Linked DNA regions of Danio rerio. Each later gene encodes a partner of the first gene's protein in a complex. Links are inferred from orthologs where the notes say so. Each region holds a gene or a part of one and is shown in the gene's direction. Other genes may lie near its edges. The genes, in order: lamtor3, lamtor4, lamtor1 and flcn.

The links.
Region 2: lamtor3 (region 1) and lamtor4 share a complex: the UniProt entries of both Homo sapiens proteins name them as parts of the ragulator complex. The link is inferred for Danio rerio from reciprocal best matches to the Homo sapiens genes LAMTOR3 and LAMTOR4.
Region 3: lamtor3 (region 1) and lamtor1 share a complex: the UniProt entries of both Homo sapiens proteins name them as parts of the ragulator complex. The link is inferred for Danio rerio from reciprocal best matches to the Homo sapiens genes LAMTOR3 and LAMTOR1.
Region 4: lamtor3 (region 1) and flcn share a complex: the UniProt entries of both Homo sapiens proteins name them as parts of the lysosomal folliculin complex. The link is inferred for Danio rerio from reciprocal best matches to the Homo sapiens genes LAMTOR3 and FLCN.

Annotation. Positions count from the first base shown.
Region 1 is NC_133188.1:12,898,540-12,903,036, reverse strand, and holds the end of lamtor3 (ragulator complex protein LAMTOR3), read left to right. Parts: intron 1-554; coding exon 555-688; intron 689-771; coding exon 772-835; exon of another isoform or gene 836-1,849; intron 1,850-2,997; exon of another isoform or gene 2,998-3,225; intron 3,226-3,617; coding exon 3,618-3,691; 3' UTR 3,692-3,926; downstream 3,927-4,497. UniProt on the Homo sapiens protein: As part of the Ragulator complex it is involved in amino acid sensing and activation of mTORC1, a signaling complex promoting cell growth in response to growth factors, energy levels, and amino acids.
Region 2 is NC_133179.1:20,644,589-20,648,790, forward strand, and holds the start of lamtor4 (ragulator complex protein LAMTOR4), read left to right. Parts: upstream 1-1,333; 5' UTR 1,334-1,393; coding exon 1,394-1,396; intron 1,397-1,546; coding exon of another isoform or gene 1,547-1,582; coding exon 1,583-1,663; intron 1,664-3,007; coding exon 3,008-3,125; intron 3,126-3,722; coding exon 3,723-3,820; 3' UTR 3,821-4,202. Other genes in the region: atp6v1f (V-type proton ATPase subunit F), read right to left, coding at 773-930. UniProt on the Homo sapiens protein: As part of the Ragulator complex it is involved in amino acid sensing and activation of mTORC1, a signaling complex promoting cell growth in response to growth factors, energy levels, and amino acids.
Region 3 is NC_133190.1:46,802,593-46,807,053, reverse strand, and holds the start of lamtor1 (ragulator complex protein LAMTOR1), read left to right. Parts: upstream 1-1,518; 5' UTR 1,519-1,701; coding exon 1,702-1,743; intron 1,744-4,298; coding exon 4,299-4,444; intron 4,445-4,461. UniProt on the Homo sapiens protein: Key component of the Ragulator complex, a multiprotein complex involved in amino acid sensing and activation of mTORC1, a signaling complex promoting cell growth in response to growth factors, energy levels, and amino acids.
Region 4 is NC_133191.1:14,166,336-14,170,034, forward strand, and holds part of flcn (folliculin), read left to right. Parts: intron 1-917; coding exon 918-1,041; intron 1,042-1,535; coding exon 1,536-1,661; intron 1,662-3,699. UniProt on the Homo sapiens protein: Multi-functional protein, involved in both the cellular response to amino acid availability and in the regulation of glycolysis.

The DNA of each region.
Region 1 (4,497 bases):
CTGAATAATAAATATAAAAGTAGTTCTATAAAATTAACCATTATCAAAGTTACAAATGGTACTTAAACTTCTTACGCCTGAATGTGTTTAAGGTCATTATACAATTATTATTATTATTTTTTTTTTTTTTAGCTCATTATACAATTCCATGCATCAAAAACATGCAAATAATGAATTTTAATCCAAACTCAACATTGCCTATATTTGTCATGTGACTATTGCGAATGATCAATTTGCAATGTTGATGCTGATATATTGTACAGCCCTAGTCTGCAGTGTCACATGGTTCTTCAGAAATCAATCTGTTATGATCAGTTATTATTGCTAATCAATCATTATTAATAAGTCATCTTATCAATATTATCAGTTTCCCCACTTCATTGTTTTGTGGAAGCTATGTTAAATGTCACTTTTAGAATTCTTTGATGAAAGGAAAGCTCAAGCATCTACTTAAAATAAAGTCTACTTTTTATGTTCTATATATGTATGTTAAAATAATATGTGTAGTATATCTATGTAGTAAAGCTCTGAAATGTTGCTTGTGTCCACTCTAGTGGCTAATGACAATGCTCCTGAATATGCGCTGCGGCCGGCCTTCTTGTCCACCTTTGCTTTGGCAACCGACCAGGGCAGCAAGCTGGGCTTGTCCAAAAATAAGAGCATCATTTGTTACTACAACACATATCAGGTGCTTTCTTTGACATAAGACACATTTGATCTGCTAGTTACTCAGAATTTCTTATATTAACGTATGCTGTTTATCATTGGCAGATTGTACAGTTCAACCGATTACCCTTAGTGATAAGTTTCATCGCAAGTAGTAACGCTAACACGGGTGAGTATTTCTCTGTCACAATGAGCCATTTTTACTTTAGAGATCAAAATTAAAGAAGTTGTCACTGCTTAGCCGTATTTGATTTACCCGCTAGTGTGGTGTAAATTAAAGAGGGGGTTTGACCCTCCTAATTAATGCTTAAACTTCCTAAAGGATATCAAAACTAGATGTGTGTGGGGTCTGGGAAGTAGTTTTCACGTATCTGTATCTGGAATAATAATAATAATAATAAGTTAATATTAATATTAACTTATCCTATATGTTAATAATAACTTCTAATCAGAAAAAAACAAATCTAGCCCACAGTAAATCTTCAAAATATGCTGTTTCTTGTAAATTCTATCTATATTCTGTCTACATGTAGCCTAATAGATAAGTCAAATTAAACTAGATGGAAGTTGCACAGTAAACTGTATGTGCAATCTTTTATTATCATATATTTATTGGAGCTGGAATAAAGTTATCCCGGTTCAGCAAAATACCTGTTTTATACCAAAAACATGTTGTTAATAGTTGTTTGTTGAAATAGCCCATCACAGGTTTACTGTATGCAAAAGTCTATTTATTACTCATTAAAAACACAGAAAGTAATTTTTATTAATAAACGAGATGTCATTGAAATATATGAATTTGGTTCACTGAGGCATGCATGTGTAGGCTATTATCAAAACAGAAAAAAAGCAGACCCCCGGTAATCAGATAATTTAAACACTGGTGTAGATCATTAAAACCAATTAACTAACAATAATGTATTAAAACATAAAATGTTTATGAATCTGCCATTTCTGACCTGCACTGTTTGATGGATGTTCTGTGTACATTACAGTAACCAGGGTTCTTACGGATGCTGGAAGTCATTGGAAATGCTTCAATTTTAATTAAGTGTTGTGGATTTGGGATAAATGTATTTAATTAAGTGTAATTATGTTGCTTTCATAATAAGGTGTTACTAAATAGGTAACAATGATTTAATCTTTAAATAAAATAAAGAAATATTTTTGCTTTAGCACATGGGTCTCAAACTCAATTCCTGGAGGGCCGCAGCTCTGCACAGTTTTACTCCAATCTTAATCAAACACAGCTGATCTAGTAGAGTCTAGGGCTGCTTCTTAATATGCGTTCTTGTCTGTATTTGCGGTCTTGTGTCCTCGTGAAACGTCATCAACCCTTGCCAAGGATGCATCGAGAGGTGACTTATGCGAACTTGCGAAGCTCAAGTATTCCAGAATGGAAGAGAGAAAACCCAGGAGGAGAAAACCCACACAGTTTTAAAAGTACTCCTTTAATGTGTCACAAAATAAAGTTTTAACAGTTTTTCAGGCGAGTGTAGTTGTTTTACACTCGAATCAGCAGTTTATTCACAAAGATAGCGCATCTTTGACGATGTGCCTCAGCTTATGCAGACTTCGACTCCCAGCCTGCCAGCAGGAGCTCCGCCATCACCTCCCCCGCCAAGAGCAGCCTTACTTTGGCCAGTCCATCTGGGATGTACCGCTGGATCTCATCAATCCATTGTAGTTAAAACATGATATTTAATACATCTTGTGTATATCTAGTGGACAGTATTTGGTCTTTAAAATCTATTATTTGTTATCAGGTGTATTATTTTGGCAGTATTATTTTGTTACCTTTTATAATGGTCTTTAATTATGTTACCGTGTTGTACGCTGTTTGTCTTTGTTTACCAAATTGTTCGACCATAATCCTTATTTCTTGTTGTGTATGTCTTTATTTCTTATGTATAGACTTGTATAATTACCATTGTAGTTTATCAAATCTAATAATCAAATACACGTGTCTAATAACTCCTTTTACTTCACAGTTATATGAATTTATGTTTACATTTTCTTAAATCAAAAATGTAGATTTGTAATATTAATATATTAATTATAGGGTCGTGCTTTATATAATTGAATAATTGTTTTTGCTAATGCACAGTGAAATCGATGACTCCACGGTGAGGCAAGTGTCGTGATAAAGTACACTGCCGTTCCATTTGAAGAAGTGCCCGACTTGTGGCCTCAGGAGTTCGTTCTTCTAGTCTGAACTTAGCAAGTCTGAACTTTGTGTACTTGATAATGAGAAACAGCCAGTCTTAAACATCTTGATTAGTTGGATCAGCTGTGTTTGATTAGGGTTTGAGCAAAGCTGCGGCCCTCCAGGAATTGGGTTTGAGACCTATGCTTGAGCATTAAATGAAATCTCTGGAGTCCATGCCTGCAATCCGTCTGCCTAAGATGTGAATAAAGTACATGTAAGGGTCCCGTGAAGTGCTTTGAAATGTGCATTTTTATTTGATGTTTGACATGATCTCAACTGAAAAATGAAGAGAGTGGGACATAAAGTAGTTTCTCCCCTTTTAAAAGAAAAAACTGCCAATAGTGATTCGTTTAAAAAAAAAAAAACTATTGTTAGCTTTGCCAGTGAGAGGGATTGAGCTCAAATGCATTAAATGAGAAGCATCTTGAAGTAGGAGGGGCATGTCAGATACTAGAGAGCATTTGATTGGTCAAGATTTGATGACAAACTGACTATGAGGTGGTGGCATGGAAAAAAACAAACCTTTTAGGAATTGCAAACTGCAAAGCTTTGGATGTTTCTATCAGATTTATATCTTCTAAACGCGTTTCCTTAAAACTAACAGACTGAAACTAATATCTAATAAAGTTTATTTTCATTTCACCAGACCTTTAAAAGACTGAATGACAGTTATTCAATGTTGGGCTTGGAACTATTAATATCAGTTGAATGATATGTTTTCCTCTTTGTTTTTCTTCTGTAGGATTGATCTTCAGTCTGGAGAAGGAGCTGGTTCCTCTGATTGAAGAACTTAGGCAGGTGGTGGAAGTGGCTTAGCAGCTGTTCATCTCAGACCACCTGAATGATAAGAGAGCCACTTTCCAATCTGAGGTCCTGGTGCTCGAGTTCATGCAAACACATCTGTACATATGTATTGTTGGCTGGCTGTTGTTGTGGATGCTCCTGATGCTGTATGTATTTTATGAATGTAACCTGCTCATTTTTGTGTCATCCTAATTAATAAATTTGTCTTAAGTGTTCGTTTACAAAAAATAAAGTGTATTTAATGACATTGTGCACTTTTTTCTTTGCTCCCAAACAACACGAAAAAAAAAATAAAAATTTTTGGAGAATTTAACTGGGGTGACAGTGGCTCTGTGGTTAGCACTGTCGCCTCACAGCAAGAAGGTCACTGGTTTGAGCGCCAGCTGGGTCAGTTGCCATTTCTGTGTGGAGTTTGCATGTTCTCCCCTGTTGGTGTGGGTTTCCTCCGGGTGCTTCCCCTACAGTCCAAAGACATGCACTATAGGTGAATTGTGAATGTGTAAGGATGTTTTCCCGTACTGGGTTGCAGCTGGAACCACATCTGCTGTGTAAAACATGCTGGATAAGTTGGCGTTTCATTCCGCTGCGGCAACCTCTGATGAATAAAGGGACTAAGCCAAAGGAAAATGAATGAAAGAGAATTTATAATTTTTACTTTGGTGATGTCCAGCATTCTACTGGGACGACATTTTTGTAGATCATGCTTCAAAATTTAGCACTTCTGTTGACCCAGAATCAGATGTGTTTATGGTTAAACACCTGAAACTGTGCTTAAAACGGAAAAGCTTTATATTACGACATAAGTAATAATAACACAT
Region 2 (4,202 bases), on another chromosome or scaffold:
TGCATATTTATGTAAATACCAAACTACATATTGACTTGGACTTGTACTTATTCATATAGACCATTTCATTGTGGTGATGACATTGGCCTATGCTTGATATCAAAGAAACAATTGAATAATAACTTAATTCTAAAAAAGCTATCATAACATTATTTATCAATAAGCAGGCTCTTTTTAGATTCTCGTAAGCTATAAAAATTAAAAATGTAAAACAGAAAATACGTTGGAACATTTGTTTTTGTTTACATTCCTCAAAATGATCTATCGTCAGAATAAGAAGAGATCAGACAAACATGTTCTTATATTTAAATTATTCAAAATTGATCAGTAGTTTGAAGAATAGTGACAAAGGATATTTAAATGACAATTGTCAATAGGGGCTGCACTGTAATTCATAATATTAATAGTTTGATATGTCTTTAATAGTTTCTTGCAAATATGATTGACAGTTTACTGGTGTATATAAAATATTGTTAAACTAAAAGACATTTAAGTGGGTTTCTTGACAAATTTAGGTAATTATTACTACATAAAAATAATTTATATATAAATGTTTTTTCTAAAATATTTGGCTGATATGATAGATAGATAGATAGATAGATAGATAGATAGATAGATAGATAGATAGATAGATAGATAGATAGATAGATAAACATAAATATTTTTTTAAAAAGCAAGTCTTCATCCATATATTTGTAATGACACATATTTGATAATTAGATTGTAATATATGATGTTGAGTCATTCAGACATTTAGGATCGTGTCACTTACTTGAAGGTCTCCTCTATCTCTGTAACGCTGGTTTCCTTCTCCACCACCAAGAAATTGGGTTTACGGTTTTTATTGAGCTCTCCGATCCCTCCGAGGAGAAATCCGGTGCACGTGTCTTCATCACCGATAACTGCGATTAATTTTCCTCGTCCGGGCATCGTGACTTTGTCTTATATTTTGCTCAAATAAAAGACGCAGAATGGACGAAATGTTTTCCGTTCAGCAGGATCATATGCTTTAATCAGCTGACCACTTCACTTCCGCTTTGCGTAGTCGCGTAAGCGCCTTATTTAGCTGATCTGAGATCTGTGCTGCTCGCGTTAACGACCGACCTGTGTGCGGTGATTATGACAGCGAATCTGATCCTGATACAGATTATTTTTTGTTAAATGCGAGAACAGCGCATAAATCCTAGCAAATTAAATAAAAATCCGCCACGTTTTAGTCATACTAAGATTTTTTATCACATTTTGTACGTTTCCAATGCATATAAACAAAAATAATGTCGAATAAGCAAAACATCTCCTGGAATGACGTTATAAACACGCGACGCTTGATGTCAGTCACGTGAGGCGGGGTGTGAAGGAAAACAGCAGTGTACATTTATCTGCACTGTCTAAAATGGTAAATATAATTCTTACCTTTAAAATATTTGTTTAATTAAATGTTTTTTTTATTAAATGTTTTGTTTTAGTGCATTTAGAACTTATAAAACAAAGATTTTGTAAATAATGTGATTGATGATGCAGTCTAATATCATATGAGCTCTGTTAGTGTTTAATTACAGTATTATCGTGTGTTGAATGTCAGACTACTGCTTTGACTCAAGGCTTGGAGAGAATACCCGATCAACTTGGGTACTTGGTTATTAGTGAAGACGGAGTACTCGCGGTAAGCTGTTAAAATTCATAACTTACATTTTCGGAGAACTTGACATGAGGGTGAAATGCGTTGAAAAGAGAATCCTGATTTGGGCAAATGAGAAATAATTAATTAGAATTCAATGTCTGTCAGTCTTATTGTTCTGTCTGTCTCTGTTTGCCTGTCTACACTTTGAGGCAAAATTATTACGCCTCTACTGATACATATTATTTAAAAAAAAATTCCCAAGTTATGATGAACTGAGCAATGACATTTTCACAGTATTTTCTATAATATTTTTATTCTTGAGAAAATTTTTTATTTCTTTTATTTTGTCTGGAATAAAAGCAGTTTTTAAATAAAAAAATAACAATTTTAATAGGTTAATAGGCCCTTAGAACAAAATAATGGTATTCAATGACTTGCCTAGTTAAACTTATTAACCAAGTTAAGCCTTTAAGTTACTCATTAAGATGAATTCTAATATCTTGTAAAATAACTAGCAAAATATTATGCAGTGTTATCATGGCAAAGACAGATTCTGTTAAAAAATATATATATTACAACTATTATTTTTAAAAATGTGTTGAGAAATCTTCTTCCTTTTGAACAGCCTTCATGAAAATAAATTAAAAAAGGAAAATATTTATTTATTGCCAATAATTGTGCCTTTAACTGTATCTATCTATCTGTCTGTCTGTCTGTCTGTCTGTCTGTTGGACACACCTGGCTCAAGGGGTTATCTCTCTCTCTGTCTCTTTCTATATATTCGATAGGTTCTATGTTTTAATCATATAATCAATTTATCATTTACAGTTGAGTCAGAATTATTAGCCTTGCTGTTTAATTTTAAATCTTTTATATTTTTCCCCAATTTCTGTTTTACAGAGAGATTTTTTTTCAACACTTTTCTAAACATAATAGATTGAATAACTAATGAATTTCTTTTATCTTCGCCATGATGACAGTACATACTATTTTACTACATATTTTTCAGGATAATAGTATTCAGCTTCAAGTTCAATTTAAAGGCTTAATTGGGTTAATTAGGTTAAGGAAGATACTTAGTTTAATTAGTAATTTAATTAACAATAATTTGTTCTGTAGACAAGTTAAAAAAATATATTGCTTGGGGGGGGGGGGGTAATAATAATTGAGTTAAAATGGTATGAAAAGCTGCTTTTATTCTGGCCAAAATAAAACAAATAAGACTTTCTCCAGAGGAAACAATATTATATGAAATAATGTGAAAATGTCCTTGCTCTATTAAACATAATTTGGGAAATATTTAAAAAAGAAAATATCATAGGGGGATTAATAATGACTCCACTTGTCTCAGTTAAGCAGTAAGTGAATGTTTTTTGTAATCTACAGTCGGCAGGAGAGCTGGAGAATGACGAGCACACAGCAGGAGTGATCATGCAGATGGTCCGAACAGCTTGTCGCTTCAGATTACATGGGACTGCAGAGCCCCCATTCAAGCGCATGTCTGGTAAGAAACGCACTTCATTTTTAGATAAATGCTGAATGATGATAGAACAATATTTCACTCATATTTTGTCATTTAATTTTCAAAAAATGTGATGTGAATTATTAAAGTAAACATGCTTGTGTAACATCAGGTTTATGTAATATTCAGATATCACTGTAGTATTAGTGTTTATTTGTAACATTAGGTTTAAGTATTATCCAGATATTTTTACAGTTTGAAATAGTTTTTATCTTTACATTTTGTGTTTTTTCTATTTAAAGTTTAAGCAATTTTGTTATGTATTTCTATCAGTTGTGTTTTTAAATAGGTCTGTTTAAAAAAAAAAAGGTTTTATTAGTTTTTATGGTTTCATGTGTAACCATTTTAAGTCTTTTTTTATCCTCTTGATTTTGTTTAGGAACAAAATAGCCCTAATAAAATAAAATAACCCTCTTTAATTTGTTGTTTTAATTAAATTTATTCAATAAGAAATAATTGATATATGATCATTTACTATTTTACAGTAAATCATTTTTACTTGCTGTGAAAATCCATAACTTCCAAACAAATACTGATATTAATGTATATTTTTTTCTTTCCTTTTTTGTCTGATGTCAGTGATGTTTGAAGACTACGTCTATGCTGTGACCATCTCCGGACAGAAGGTTTTCGTAGTGAAAAGGCAGAACAACCAGCGGGAGCCTGTTATCGTGTAGTAAAGAGGATAATATGGACTGATCTTTCCCACTATTACAAGCTCAAAATGGTGCCCTCACATAAAAATGACCCCGTCTTTACAACCACCCGATGTTTAGCACAATCACACTCTCTTTCTTTCTTAAGGTGAAATTTTGCAATGTTTTGGGGGCCTTTTGGTGATGTCAGGTGTATTTGACCTGAGCCAAAGTAAGTTCATGTGTTTCTCTTATTAGATTATGATGTTACATGGTTCATCTGATTTCTTTTTTTTGGATACAGGATTAAATTGTTTTTATATTTTAGTCCCTTTCATACTTGAGTGGTCACAATTATAGTATTGCTGGACATCATTATAGATTTGCATTAACATTTAACTCCAATAATCCATTAAGCTATAGA
Region 3 (4,461 bases), on another chromosome or scaffold:
TTATCCCGTTAAACAATTTTTACAAAAATGTAAAAATGACATTGGCATCTCTTGCTCTTTCTGTGAAACCTCTTCTGAATCTGTTGCTCACTTGTTTCGGGAGTGTCCCTCTGTTAAATCTTTTTGGTCTAATGTAAACTCTCTAATTATCCAAAAGGTTTGTGGAGATTTTTCTTTAAGCTATAGACATATTATTTTGTGGTTTTATATTAAAGGAAAAGAATTCCTTAATTCAACTTTTTGCATAAACCACATTTTATTTATTGGAAAGTTTTTTATACACAAATGCAAATATACTCATTGTAAGCCTATTTTTTTTTTTTTTTTTAAACGAGAACTAGCTCTTTATTTAAAAAAAAACCCATCACAGACTCTCACAATAAGAAAGCTATTAAAACTTATAAAATATGTGCTTTATTTAATATCCTGCAATAATTTGTTTAATCTTTGTCATGTGCCCTTAATTATTATTATTATTTCTCTCTCTCTCTCTCTCTCTCTCTCTCTCTCTCTCTCTCTCTCTCTCTCTCTCGTTGTCTTTATTTTGATTTACCTATATTATATTTGTTCTAAATTTGTTACATTCCACTTTTTCAAAAAGTAATATTTCTATTGATTGTACCATACTTTCAGTTTTGTATCTGTATTTGTTGTAAAGTACTGTTATTATTGCAAAAAAAAAAAAAAAAAAAAAGCATGATGTTTCTTAAAGGTTTTTCATAAAGGTTTCCTAAAGGTTTTTCATACATATATATATATACATATATATACATATATATACATACATATATATACATACATATATACATTCCATATATACATACATACACACACTAGATATCGCATAGGGACCCTGAGCATGCGTCAATAGCGCCGCCACATTGGTACAGTGCTCCCAGTACAAATGTCATTCAACCGCACTAGTCAAGTCAGTGTTATTACGTGAAGATGCGGGACTTTAGCGAGCAAAACAGAAAACAAAGCACAAAGGCAGAACATTCCATAGGTAATAAAAAGTTTTTTCTGTTTTTGTATGTTCTGAACTTTTGTGCTAATCAGGTAACGTTATTGATGAAAACAGTGACTTACTGCATTCACCATAAGGCAAAGCAGCTCCAACTCGCTCCCGCTCCGTCAGTATGAGAAGTGAAAGCAGGAGAGGAGCTGTGTTTCAGGACATGATTAGATCAAATTTAACAGGGAGGGTGGATAGTACATTTCTGTACACACAAACACAAGCTTTTTGTCAGGAATGTGATGTAAAATTATAATTTTCGTAATTAGAAAAAAAAAATTACATACAACATCCAGGAAAACTCCCGATCATAGATATATGTGTATATCTCTGGCTTTGGATGGCCACAGTCCTCCACTGTACCTTGGTCCTGCATTCATTTCAAAGGAGCGCTACCCTGTAGCAAGATGGCGGCGCTATTGACGCATTCCGTCCAATAGACAACAATAGGCCAGGCGACATCTAATGTATATATCTATGAAGGTTTTTAACGGGTTTTTGGGGCGGAACTGACGTGCCAGTGTGGAGACGGAAGACACGTGACACGATTGGGAGTGCTGTCATGTGATGGTTTCTGCGTTTGCAGCAAATCTCTTCACAGCCAAGAGGCAAACACAACCTCAAAAACGCTCCTGAGACGAATAAAAAACCCAAATTCAGGATACTGAACCCGCTGGGCGGCCATCATGGGGTGCTGTTTCAGCAGCGACAGCGAGACGACGGATCCGGTAACTCAAAACACTAATAATGCAGCTTAATGTAGCGTCTGTAGTCCTGCAACAACATTTACTAACGACACACTTTCAATACAGTTGTGTGTTTGTGATTCAAGAACAGCTCAATACTGAGTGCTTGTCAAAACTACAACAAACTTAATCCACTAACGCTACTTTATTTATGTATATTTGATCATTAACGTGTGTTTGTAATGAACTGAAGCTGGTGTTTCGGTGGAGTTAGTCTTAAATTGGGAGTTTTGTGTTGGATGTGGGTCTAATGTGTCAGATCTGACATGTGCTAATGCTAATGTTTGGGGAAATGTAGTGTTAGGGTTTCCACAATGATGGAAAAGTTAAATATATTAGTGCATTTTAGGCCTGGGAGTTTTTATAACAGTTGTACGAAAATATGGGGAGTATTTATGATTTTATTGAGTGAAAAAGAAAAAAAATTAAGCCAATCGTGAAAAGGTTTATTAAATTAAAATGTGCAAATTTTGTTGGATTTACACTAAAAGTTAGTTTTATGCTGTCCAATGCTGAAAAATAACTTAAAATACCAATAATAATGCAGCTTAATGTAGTGTCTGTAGTCCTGCAACAACATTTACTTACGACACACTTTTAATACAGTTGTGTGTTTGTGATTCAAGAACAGCTCAATACTGAGTGTTTGTCAAAACTACAACAAACTTAATCCACTAACGCTACTTTATTTATGTATATTATATCATAAGCGTGTGTTTGTAATGAACTGAAGCTGGTGTTTCGGTGGAAATAGTCTTAAATTGAGAGTTTTGTGTTGGATTTGGATCTAATGTGTCAGATCTGACATGTGCTAATGCTAATGTTTGGGGAAATGTAGTGTTAGGGTTTCCACAATGATGGAATAGTTAAATATATTAGTGCAGTAATTCTCAAACTTTTTTCATCAAGTACCACCTCAGAAAAGATTGTTCCTCCAAGTACCACCATAATGACCGGTATTGAAATACAGTAGCGTAGTAGGCCCAGTAAAACAGCTGCAGCTCTGCACAGTTTAATAACGTGGTAAAATAACTACTACTATTAAGGATATTTATTATTATAAGCCACTTTAAACATTATAAATAGTAACATTAAGACTGTACTCTGCTTATATGTAAACAAACAAACAAAAAAATTAATGTTAACGTTTAAATTAATGTGCTTTTAAAGGTTTAATAAAAATGGTAGGTTACTGTCCTTAAATAGAAAAAAACTGCTGTACTTAAATGTAAAGTCCTATTTATCAAAACCTGGAAATGTTGCTTGGACCTCATAAATAGGCTATATGTCATCATATTCATATTCAAACCATTTTTGATAAATTTTGAAATATATGTTGCTTGTACGTGACATGTAGGATTCCTCTGCGTACCATTAGAAGGAAGCCTGCGTACCGCTAGTGGTACACGTACCACAGTTTGAGAACCACTGTATTAGTGGATTTTAGGCCTGGGAGTTTTTATAATAGTTGTACGAAAATATGAGGAGTATTTCTGATTTTAGTGAGCTAAAAAAAAAAAATTAATTAAGCCAATCGTGAAAAGGTTTTTAAATTAAAATGTGCAAATTTTGTTGGATTTACACTAAAAGTTAGTTTTATGCTGTCCAATGCTGAAAAATAACTTAAAATACCAATAATAATGCAGCTTAATGTAGCGTCTGTAGTTCTGCAACAACATTTACTTACGACACACTTTTAATACAGTTTAATGCAGTTATGATTTTAGTTGGTTTTAAATAATAAACTGAAGCCAAACGTGAAAATGTTTTAAATTAAAATGTCTAAATATTGTAGGGTTTGCACTAAAAGTTGGTGTTATGCTGTCCAGTACAGACAAATACCCAAAACACTAATAATGCAGCTTAATGTAGCGTCTGTAGTCCTGCAACAACATTTACTTACGACACATTTTTAATACAGTTGTGTGTTTATGATTCAAGAACAGCTCAATGCTGAGTGTTTGTCAAAACTGCGTCAAAATTATTCCAGTTACGCTACTTTTTTTATGTATATTTGATCATCAACGTGTGTTTTTTTAATGAACTAAAGCTGGTGTTTCTGTGGGATTTGTCGTAAATTGTGTTGGATTTGGATCTAATGTGTCAGATCTGACATGTCCTAATGTTAATGTTTGGGGATATGTAGTATTAAGGGTTTTCTCAATGATGGAAAAGTTGAATGTATTAGTGGATTTTCAGGTCTGGGAGTATTTATAACAGTTGTACGAAAGTATGAGGAGTATTTATGATTTATTTTTATATTGGGATATCGCCCACTCTTTTTTTCTATTTTTATTTAATTTAATTATTTTTCCTGGTCATTGCGCCTTTGCTGTGTACTGTGTAAATGCAGACAATCGGATACGAGTCCCTTTTAATTAATGATGTAAGCAGGTCATCAAAAAAATCAGATACAGTCACAAAATCGCAATTGACCATCAAGATCTGCAGCGTGAATGCAGCCTGTTAGCTTACATGAAAATAAAGTGGTCTTTCTGGGTGTTTGAACAGGATGTGTTGATGTTTTGGTCCTGCAGGATGGAGATGAGGTGAAGCCACTGATTCCTGACCCAAACCAAGAAAGAAAACCCACTAATGGCTCAGAGCGAAATGCAGACAATCTGCCGTCCAACCGCACAGACGAACAAGCCCTGCTCACGGTCATCCTGCAGCGGACGGCACTGTACGACACGCTGCTTT
Region 4 (3,699 bases), on another chromosome or scaffold:
ATGGAAGCTCATTTTCAAAAACCCATAATAGGACCTCTTTAAATAAGCTGTTTGAATAAACAGCAAACATTTTTTTGAGTATAGGATCTTCAGAATTGTGTTTTAGAGAAAAGATGTATATTTAAAAATGTATTTTTAAATGAATTTATACTTTGTTTACAGATCCAAAAAATTTATTAAAACATATAGAATTGTTATTAAAAAGGTAAAAAGTTTAACCATTATATTAAAAAGTAATAAAAAAAATAATAATTAAAAACATTGATGTATAAAATAATATAATAGATGTTTTTAATGGATAAATTAGACCAGACAGAATTTAAATAGATTTTTTATACATAAAAAACATGTTAAATATAAGTAAAATGTCTATTTAATGTAAATAATGTCGATGAAAATGCAATGCTAAAATATGGGAGAAATTTTCTTACTCATGTTATCGTCTTTTAATTTAAAAACAGCTTAAAATAAAGTGTAAAACGAAGTGGTTTGATAGATTTTGGTAAAGTTTTAAGACTTAAAATGAAAATGAATGAGAATTTCAGGACTGCACTGTGATCCTTGAATATCTTATTTGATTATATTATATATCTTATACTGTGCATTGTTAAAAGATTCCTGTTCTAATTATGCCTTAAAAAAACTCATTTACATTTTAGTGGATGATTTCTCTAAGTCATTATTATTTTATTTTATCATTTATATGATATGATATGGCATAATATCATATATGATATGACATGTTATGATATTATATGATATATGATGCTGATGATAATTTTATTCCAAAATGAGAAAAATAGCAATGATAAAGTAAAAGTAGCTGTGCCCAAACCTTCAGCTGGAAAGCATTATTAAAGGAGAAGCTGAAAATCTTGCTAAATCTCTTCTAATCCTTATTTGTGACCATTTCCCAGGCTTTGCTTCCAGTTGGCTGTGTGCGAGCAGTGCAGTACAGTCCTCACTATGAGGAAGCATATCGGTGCAACTTCCTTGGCCTTAGTCCAGACGTACCCATCCCAGCCCACGTCAGCTCCTCAGGTATCTTCTGTTCTTTAGAAACCTTTTTATTGAAAAAAACCCTCTGTTGTACACACATTTTCCACAAGTAGTTGAAAATACATGTTTAAAAAGCCCCAAGAGGTCTGACCCCATTAACCCATTGTATTCTCATGCCATCCCTGAGGCATTGCAGTAGTTGAGGGTCAAACTTACGCAAACATTAACACTCACTTCAGTCCCGCTCTCTTAATCTTCATCCAGCATCTCGAGGGGAACATGTTGTTTATCTAACAAGATTTCTATCAAGACAAACATACATATATGCAACAGAGGCCTCAAACTAAGTGTTTTAGGGTGTTCTTTGTCAGAGTTTGATTTAAATCCCATTTCCCAACTTGTGTGCGACTGTTTTCTATCTAAACACAGCGAATCTGCTTCATAACTCTTTGTCAGGTTCATTTGAAGTTCAACACACTGATAGAGCCTCCTGAAGGTTTAACCTCTGTCTTTCTCCGTCTCGATTTGTCTTCCAGAGTTTTCTGTGCTGGTGGATGTACTGAGCGCAGAGCGAGGTTGTGTAAACCCCGTTTCAGACGATGACATTCTGTCACTTTACCAGTTCCACATTAGCAGTGCCAACACACAACCAACAGATAAAGGTAAGCGCGTGAACATAACATCAGTTGGGTTGCTATTAGTCTTTAGATTTACACTCTAGCCAAAATGCTCGAGTTTTTCTCTTGTGTTTTAATAAAGTTTCACCTTTACACAATCTGCATTTAGATATTAGCAAAAGCACTGTACAACAAATACTAGGCTAGTTTTTGGCGTAGTCATCTTGTTAGTAAACAGTACATAGCGTTGATGTGAATGCAGAACTTGCAATGAGTGTAAGGTCTTTAACGGCATAATGTGATGTAAATCCAATCTTTGCTGATGGATTGTTAGCAAACACTTGTGCAACAATGTTATCATGTTCTCCACTGTTGTAGAGTGTTTGTTTGTGCTAGCCTTTAATCTACAGCTCTTTAAACACCTACTATGCGTGCACATGATGTCATCACTTTCTTAGACTCTCATTTGTTGCGTGTTTACATGGACAAACAGTGGCTGCGCTTTCAAAGACTTCCACGTTTACAGGTTTATGTGATTTCCAATTCAAAAACACAGTCGTCTCTTAAATGAACAGGCATGTGTATGTCAGGCAAAATGTATGTCATTTTGGTTGAAAGTATTATGATGTTAATGGCCCCTCAGAAATCTTTTTTAAAGGGATCTCTTGATATGAAGGTTTGTATGTCTTAATATAATGTAAATGATGCCTCTGTGAAGTATGTAGAAAAAACACAACATATTTAGGCTTTTTTTGTTTTTTAAATCCACAATCTGGGTGCTCCACCTCTTTCTGTAAATATATTTCTATTGTAAATGCAGCACAAATGGTGATACAAAACTATGATATGGTGCCACATTGTGCAGCTTTTGCTTCTAATGGGCTATATGTACAGCAAGTGTTTTTCAGCCACTGATAAACTTCTGGTGAAAGCTTAATGCGACTATTTTCAATTTCATAAGGTTCCTTTTACAGCATCAACATTGTAATGTAATTAAAATACATTCAGTTAAATTAACTTAAGCATTATTTAGTTGTTCATGTGTAAAACGAAATGAAAGACCACGTAAGTGCGATTGCCGTCAGTAGCATCAGGCTAGTTCAGAAACTCCACTGAAAATATTGGAGTGTAATAAACTGTCTTATTTTAAAGACGTGATGGTAGAAAATGGAATTTGATGCAGTGCTTCTTCTCTGGTCTGAAACGCACTTCATATCGTATATCTATCAGGCAGTGAGGATCACTGATCTTTAAAGAAATCACACCTTAAACGTGGTAATTTTATAATGGAAAGACAGTTCACCGGAATCGGCTGGCTGGCTGGCTGAAATGAAAAGTCTGTGTGCATATGTCTCATTTTCAATCAAAGGGATGTTAATTTTCATTACCGGTATTTTTTTTCCTCCAACATTAAAACATTAAATGCCTCAGGAAATCAAGTTTAATATACATTGAGAAAAAGCAGAGAAAAGAAATGAAAGGGAACAAAGATGCCGATGCTTGTCAACATCTGTCGCAGAAGACACTGTGTATTAGTTTATGTTAAACGCTGAACTTACTGACTCTAGTGAAACTGTCTGATCGCCAGCTCTCTCCGTGAATGAGCTAAACTTTCAATTCAGTGACAGTTTCACTTGGTCTTAAGTAAACAAGGATTTTTAGAATATTGTAAATGTCATGTTTTTACTTCTTTTACATTATATCTAGGCCAGAGGTTGCGTTAACCGAATATTTTCCGTCATTGACAGATTTTTTTCAGCTGTGACGGAAAAAATCTGAAGGTGATCCATCAATTTGACGGATTATTCTGAGGGGGATCTGTTGTAATTTGTTGCTAACTGTAATTTCCACTCCTGTCCAGCTGATGGCGATTGCCCTTGTTTTGTCACCTCTTGTCAGCACTGCAGAGTTGTAAAAATGTCACTAGAGCCGAGTATGAGAAACTTCTTTATATTTCCAAATAGTTGTGATAATAATAATAATAAAGGTGAAAACGAGGAAGTGATGCAGTGGACGATGAAGAACAAACAGAAAAAAATCAGTCACCGACAGCTGTTACGGGCCAACCAAGTCGCAGCAAGGA